2 linked regions of the Drosophila melanogaster genome follow. The protein of the gene in region 1 purifies or fractionates together with the protein of each later gene. This does not show direct contact. Each region holds a gene or a part of one and is shown in the gene's direction. Other genes may lie near its edges. The genes, in order: Aldh7A1 and CG1227.

Region 1 (3,925 bases):
GGAAGAAGTCGATTATGGTTTTCTTGTGATAAAAATAGTATATGCGAAAATAAATTTTGATCTGCAATACATGTGTACAATTTCAAATTCTTCTGGAAAATCAGCATTGATTGTAATAGGTTATCAGAGACTTTTTTCTTGAAGTTTATGCTGGATTGACATTCTGCAATGGCTGATAAGTATTTATTTCTATATTTATTATTATATTTTTATATAATGTATATGTAGAACTGGAAACGGCTGATAATGTTTTAAAAAGAGTAGCCGAGAAGCATTTATAAAGGACACCGAGCTAAGTCAAACTTAGTATGAAAACTTTAATTCAAGAGCAATGCACAGCGAACTAGAAATTGTTGCGGTGCTCACAAGTCTACTGATTTTCTTATCGGGAACAGGATCGGCGCAATTCTTGGGGAACATCTGTGGAGAAAGAAGGGATGGCCTGTCGCCAGATATAGTTGGTCCCTGGACGGCCATCCTGCACCATTTCGGACGCATCGTTGGCGTGGGAACCCTGATCCACGAGCGATTTATCCTGACAGATGTACATTGTGGTGACTCCATTGGAGTTATTAGAGCACGGTTGGGAGAGTACGGAAGAATTGGTTCTGAGCTGGCAGAAGACCACATAGTCGCTGCATTCTTCAGTAACGCCAACTTTAATCCGGAAACGCAGGCGAATAACATGGGCCTAATGAAACTGCTGCGAACCGTAGTATACAAAGAGCATATAATTCCGGTCTGCATTCTTATGGACTCACGGATGCAGACGTTCGCCGATGAACTGGACTATTTCAATGGAACTACATGGAAGAACTCGGACAAATCACCCTATGCTGAGGTCCAAAACTGTGATCCGAATGCCGCAGGCATGTGGAAAACTGGACCATGGCCAGTTCTGTGCCGGCCACAAAGATCTGGACTCCTGTGACGAACCATCTGGCGCAGCCTTGACCCGTGAAATTGACTACATTGGGCCAAACCGGACAGTTCTGTTTGGAATCGCGAACTCCGTCGAGGTGAAGTGCTCCAACTCGCGAACTTACACCGATGTGGTGCAATTGCATCAATGGATCAGTATGGTAATCTATTCCTCCAACACCAATGATGGTATGGACAAACCACACAATACTACTCATCTGCCCGAACCTGTTTTTGAATTAAAGAGCACAAGCTTTTCAACCAATTCTAGGATAAAATAAAGCTTACATAAACTGTTTATTTTCATTTTACTAAATAAATATATAGCATTTTTTTAAACCATTTTCTTAGAAATCGAAATGTAAGTTTTACCTACCATCTTATTAATTTAATGGCCGCAAAGGAAGCGTAGCGTGGAAAATCCAGCTTTCCACCCACAACTCCGGAGCAAATTGGTTCCTGGAGTACCCGCTGATGTGTCTGTTATGTGGAGATGGGTTACGTAATTTCCAACAAAGTCAGTATTAGGGTATTGCACCTGGTAAAACTCGAGATCACGCTGCAGTAAAATGGGCACTCTGTCCATTAAGTTTCCCTCTTCGAGCACCTCCATTATGTAGGTCCTGTTTCAAACACTTTAACAATTAACTTTCAACGGCAAACAAACTGCTAAATATGTGCCAACTAACAAACATTTTATTTAGTTCACTTGTTGCCAGGGAAACAGAAGATTAAGCCAATCGAAAGCGTAAATCGGATATGAACAGCGATATTTTATCAGGACATTCGAAAAATGCGAAGCTTAACTGATAACTAAAACAAATATGAATAATAAATACATTATACTGAAATTAGTGCAACAGTATCAATAGGTTCGCATTTAGTATACTAATTATTTGCGATGGATCCTAGGGAAATGATCAAAACCAACACATAAAATATTCGACTAACCATCTGAAAGTATGCTACTTTTTCATGACCACGCTGCACTCAACCTCTCAATTCTTTTAATTCAATTGATAAGAACCAGGGGAGCTCCCCTCCCTCCCTCTCTCCTAACGCATTCAATTCAGTTTGCGACTGCGATAAGCTGCCCACAAAAGCCGATTTGTCCCGCTGGTTCAGCATTCAGAATCCGCCGTCAGTTGATAATTGACTTGCGACTCGGCCAGTCAGTCGTTCCATCGATCCGGACACCTACCAAGTGAGTACCTTCTAGTGGAGATGCTATCAGTGGATCCGCTCTGCTGGGGATCTGAAAACAAAACTTTCCAGCCAGCAACCAGAGAACAGACGGAGCTGTTATCGCTCGATAAGAGCGGTATCAGCTCTTAATCAGTAATCCATAAATCTCCTCCCGTTCTCCTCCGCCAGAACAACAATTCTTCGTAGAAATAACCCTGGATCTTAACATGTCCCCATAATAAATAGTATTTAATTCAATCACAAGCTTCTATGAACTATTTAATAAATCTTTATTTAAATAATTTGGTCTGTAGATAAACTATAATCTTTGATATTAAGATACTGAAAATGTGGATCACTGATAACAAATTTATAATATATGTAAATATATGTTTTTAATTATGCAGCATGTTGGCACAATTGAGAAATATTTCGAAGCTGGCGCTGCCGCGCCGCCTCGTTACCCAAACCGCCAGCTACTCATCGTCCTCGTCATATCTCATTGACCAGCCGGAGTACAGTTTCCTGAAAGAATTGGGACTGGAGCGCGACAATCCAGGTGTTTATTCGGGTCAGTGGCAGGGTCGTGGGCCATCCGTTACCAGCTACGATCCCGGAACTGGTCAACCGATTGCCAAAGTGCGTCAGGGAAATGTCCAGGAGCTCGAGCATACCATCGGGCTGGCGGTGGAAGCCTACAAGCAGTGGCGACAGGTTCCAGCTCCCGTTCGCGGCGAAATAGTGCGCCAAATCGGCGATGAGCTGAGAAAGTACAAGGAACCACTGGGAAAGCTCGTCTCCCTGGAGGTGGGCAAAATCTACAGCGAGGGACAGGGCGAGGTTCAGGAGTTCATAGATATCTGCGACTATGCGGTTGGCCTCTCAAGGATTTACTCCGGCCAGCTGATCAACTCGGAGCGTGCGGATCATTCGATTCTGGAGGCCTGGCGTCCGCTGGGAGTGGTGGGCGTTATTTCGGCCTACAATTTTCCCAATGCTGTGTTCGGCTGGAATGCTGCCATCGCCCTAACCACCGGCAACAGTGTGCTGTGGAAAGGAGCTCCCAGCACTCCCTTGGTCTCGGTGGCGACCACAAAAATTGTGGCTGAAGTGCTGCGTAGGAACAATCTGCCGCCGGTGGTGACCCTCTGCCAAGGAGGAACCGATGTTGGTCAGACCTTGGTGGCTGATAAGAGAGTTAACCTCGTTTCCTTCACCGGCAGCTGCCAAACTGGTCGGGATGTGGGTGTTGAAGTGCAGCGCAGATTCGGCAAGGTGATCCTCGAGCTAGGCGGCAATAATGCCCTAATCATCGATGAATCTGCCAACGTGAAGATGGCCCTGGACGCCGCACTTTTCGGCTGCATTGGCACCAGTGGTCAAAGATGCACCACCACCAGGAGGATTATTGTCCACGAAAAGCTGCACGATCAGTTCGTAAAGGAGCTGGTTGGTAAATATAAGCAGCTAATTTCCAAGATTGGACACCAGCTCGAAGCTCAAACTCTGGTGGGTCCCGTGCACACGCAACAAAACGTGGAGAACTACAAGGCGGCCATCGCGGAAGCGAAATCCTTAGGAGGAACGGTGGCCTTCGGAGGTAATGTCATCCAGCGGGATGGTTTTTACGTAGAGCCCACAGTGATCACTGGATTGCCGCACGATGCCAGCGTTGTCCATCGCGAAACCTTTGCACCAATTGTGTACATCCTCAAAGCCAAAAACGTGGACCAGGCCATCGAATGGAACAATGAGGTGGAACAGGGCTTATCCTCTGCCATTTTCACGGAGAACATCGGGCAGGCGTTCAAGTGGATTG
Region 2 (3,925 bases), on another chromosome or scaffold:
TATCTGATTGGAATTCTATCTCTAATTTGGGTGGCCGCCCAGGATATCGTACCTGACGATCCGGAAGTGCAGATGCAAATGCATGCCATGTTCTATACGGCTCGTGTTGCTTGTGCGGATGAGAATTTAATACCGTATGGTAAGTGGAGTAATGTACCAACTCTGAATAAATACAGCTACAAAGATTCATTTAGTGAGAAATTATCTATAATTGAACAATCACTGAAAAGCTAGATTCTTTTGTGTGAAGTTCATTAAAAGTATACTTTATTGGTACTCAATTTCCGGAAATAATATGTCAAATTATTGTAACTGTGCATGGCACAATGAAATCTATTCAATGCATGAGAATGTGATCTATAAAAGGTCAGTCACAGAATCCCATCCAGCACTTTGTTTGTTCAAGATGTATTCCGCGTTAGTTAGAGCTTGTGCTGTCATTGCTTTTCTGATCTTGAGCCCGAATTGTGCCAGGGCTCTACAGGATCACGCCAAGGATAATGGTGATATTTTCATCATAAACTATGATAGTTTCGATGGCGATGTGGATGACATATCCACCACCACTTCAGCTCCTAGAGAGGCTGACTACGTAGATTTTGACGAGGTTAATCGTAACTGCAATGCTAGTTTCATAACGTCGATGAGTGAGTGCAAAGGTTAACGAAGGCAATATATGACTACATTTATCGCCTCTTTCAGCCAATGTCTTGCAGTTTAATAACACTGGGGATTTGCCAGATGACAAGGATAAGGTAACCAGCATGGTAGGTGTGCTTTGCAGATCCTTCGCCTCCCGATACTCAAAGATTACTTGCAGTGCTATTTTCACTGCTTTTTCGAAAAGTCCGGTTTGATGACGGACTATAAGTTAAATACGGATCTGGTGCGCAAATATGTTTGGCCAGCCACTGGCGATTCCGTTGAGGCCTGCGAAGCTGAAGGCAGTGAGTGTTCTAGGCAGAACTTTTTAATTACAAACGAAATCTTTAATGTGTAATCCTCAGAGGACGAGACGAATGCTTGCATGCGGGGCTATGCCATCGTCAAGTGCGTGTTTACTAGAGCCCTCACGGATGCTAGAAACAAACCCACTGTATGAATAACATCAAAGGTCACATCTCGGACTTATCAGTAGAAAATTATAATGTTAGCGTCACTAAATCAAATACGGCTACGACCGGAACACAAAATTGGCTATAAAGCACAGGCACCTGCAAGTTATTTGGTATTTTCTGCCCCGGCTATCACGTTTCCTCATTGCCATCGCAGGCGGTGTTTCTAAGCAGACGGCTGAGCCGCTTGCCAATGGGCTTGGGGTACTGGTTGTTCTTCAATAGAAACTCCTTGGACTGGTGCTCCACGGCTCCGTTGTCTAGTTGGTACTTGCACAGCGTGTGCAGCGGTCGCACGAGCGTTTGCCTCAGCTCTGGCCGAGATTCCAGCACTGCCAGGCATTGCGCAGCGGTCTCTAGTGTGCTAAGGCATCCTTCAGTAGGCTGTGTACGGATGATGTAGTCACTTATACCCACGGCGATGAGTTTCACCTGTCGCAGGCGGTGTAGAGCCGGACTGCTAGCGTAAATGGCTTTAGCCTGAGGCCAGGTACCATCGATGAGCACCAGTGTATAAGGACCCGCACTGTGGTCCACCTCTTCCAGTGGGACCGAGTCCCGACTGGGATACAGAAGCAGTGTTTGTGGAGAGTCCAAAATCCTCTGCAGATCAGCATGGTTTCTATGGTTTGGAAACCGCTTGCCTTTGTAGACGACACATTTTCCCGGTTCCAAACCCAACTGCAGCATCAGTGCAGTGCGTAGCGATCTCTTCTCCTCTGCAGGGTGTTGCAGTATAACAATCTGTGAGGACACCGCCTCAGGTGGATGCGGTAAAGCCGGGCACCAGCAAACAACCACGGGTCGTCTATAATAGAGTTCATGAAAATACTTTAATTTTTATGGCAGATTCCCAGCTTCACCACTCACTTGCATTTCTCGCACTTGTTGCGTCTGTTGGGCGGATCGGCGCTGATGCCCACGAGGTCCAGCCACGCGTCATCCTCCATACTTATAATTGATTAAATTAGAAAAATGCTAAGTTTATATTCCGCACGATAAGAAATCCGTAAGCAACAATTCGCAACTAGGTGGCAACGCACACAGCCACATGGCAAATATGACCGCCCTGTCTTCGAATCAGCTGTTTGGAGTGCAGTGAAATTGCGATTATGCGATGACAGAATCTTGAATTCCTTTAATCTATACACCAAGGAATCAAAATAAATATTAATTTATTAATACGTCAAGAAACTAAAATCGTAAAAATAATACGAAAGTGCCTAGTTTTTAAAGTTAAAGTTAATATAGAATCTTACAAATATGGTTAAAAATCACCGAACTTCATAAATTCGTTCCAGTATAAACATTCCACTTCAGCTTTGTGTTTTCTATTTAGATTTTGTATGTGAATTGAACTAGTTGTTAAGCTTAAAGTTGTGAAGTACATAGCATAATTTAAGAAAAATGCAGAGTATAGGATGGACGCTGATCATGAAACGCGGCTGCCTCTTTAGTTGCCGCAAGGAGACCCTGAACATAAACGGATCTCGATACACAATCCGCGAAAGGCTGGCGACGGGGTTTGTACCACATTTTTCCCACTATCTCCTCTGATATATCTAATCTGAGTGTTTAAACAGGGGCTTCAGTCTAATCGACCTTGGGGAAAACGCCTCCACGCGACGTAGCTATGCGATAAAGCGCATCACCTGCCACAGCATCGATGATCAGAATATAGCTCTGCGAGAAATCGAAAACTGTCGAAAAATTGACTCGGAAAACGTGATCCGGGTAGTGGATTACGAGCTGAAGGGCCAGGCGGACATAGTTATAAACACAACGAGCACCTTGTTCATTGTGCTTCCCTATTACAAGCACGGATCTCTTGCGGACCACCTTCAGCTGCGATCGCGGAAACAGGACCACATGCCCGAGGCCCAGATCCTGCAAATCTTTCTGGGCGTCTGCGAGGGATTGAAGGCCATCCACGAGGCAATGCCGGTGCCTCTGGCCCACCGAGATCTAAAAACGGCCAACATCTGCCTGTCGGACTCTTTTGAGCCAATTATTGTGGATCTCGGGTCAATGACAGAAGCCCGACTGCAGATTGTGGGCCAGACGGATGCTCAGCGCTTGCAGGACGAAGCCGAGGAGAGGAGCTCCATTGTCTACCGGGCTCCAGAGTTATTTACCGTGAAAACATATTGCACAATTGACGAGCGCACTGACATATGGGTAAAGCAGATCCAAGAGAGCGTTATTGAAGTTCTTCCTTAACATTTCCCTCTTTCAGAGTCTTGGCTGTGTGCTCTATGCAATGTGCTACTTTAATTCACCCTACGATCCCATCTACGAGCGAGGTGACAGCGTGGCTTTGGCTGTGCTCAGTGGGAACATAAACATTCCAGAGGATTCAATTTACACAGAGGTAATAAACCTTTTTTTTATATTGTAAAGGAAACTAATTCCAAATATTTGTCTAGGACATGCACGAATTAATTAAGTACATGCTGCGAACAGATCCAATGGAACGGCCATTCGTGTTTAGTGTTATCGAAAGGACCCACGATCTGATACAGAAACTGGAGGGTCGCTTGTAGCTCCCACTAACTGGATTACAACTCATTTATAGACATTCCTCCAAACCAGATACACCGCTTACTGTTTTTTGACTACTTATTGTAAAATATTTTAAACCTGCTGATTTTATGAAATTATGTGTAAGCAATCAAGCTAGTTTTTTTATTTTATTTTATTGATTGGAGCTAGTGTTCGTCACGAGTGAGTCCTGGACAGTTGGAGCCCAGATCTTCGGCGTCATCGTAATGGGTCCCACACCAATAGCAGAAGCAATAGGCTGTGCGCAG

What was found.
Region 2: the proteins of Aldh7A1 (region 1) and CG1227 purify together in Drosophila melanogaster (affinity purification with mass spectrometry, with the first as the bait; one large-scale study listed by BioGRID). This does not show direct contact.

What each region holds. Positions count from the first base shown.
Region 1 is NT_037436.4:19,267,049-19,270,973, reverse strand, and holds the start of Aldh7A1 (aldehyde dehydrogenase 7 family member A1), read left to right. Parts: upstream 1-2,060; 5' UTR 2,061-2,125; intron 2,126-2,513; 5' UTR 2,514-2,514; coding exon 2,515-3,925. Other genes in the region: CG14085 (uncharacterized protein), read right to left, coding at 1,298-1,401, 1,460-1,534.
Region 2 is NT_033777.3:7,248,018-7,251,942, reverse strand, and holds CG1227 (uncharacterized protein), read left to right. Parts: upstream 1-2,204; 5' UTR 2,205-2,522; coding exon 2,523-2,638; intron 2,639-2,698; coding exon 2,699-3,293; intron 3,294-3,351; coding exon 3,352-3,486; intron 3,487-3,541; coding exon 3,542-3,658; 3' UTR 3,659-3,792; downstream 3,793-3,925. Other genes in the region: Obp84a (Odorant-binding protein 84a), read left to right, coding at 1-139, 423-647, 703-767, 821-947, 1,008-1,102; Dtwd2 (DTW domain containing 2), read right to left, coding at 1,248-1,923, 1,986-2,065; CG10053 (uncharacterized protein), read right to left, coding at 3,824-3,925.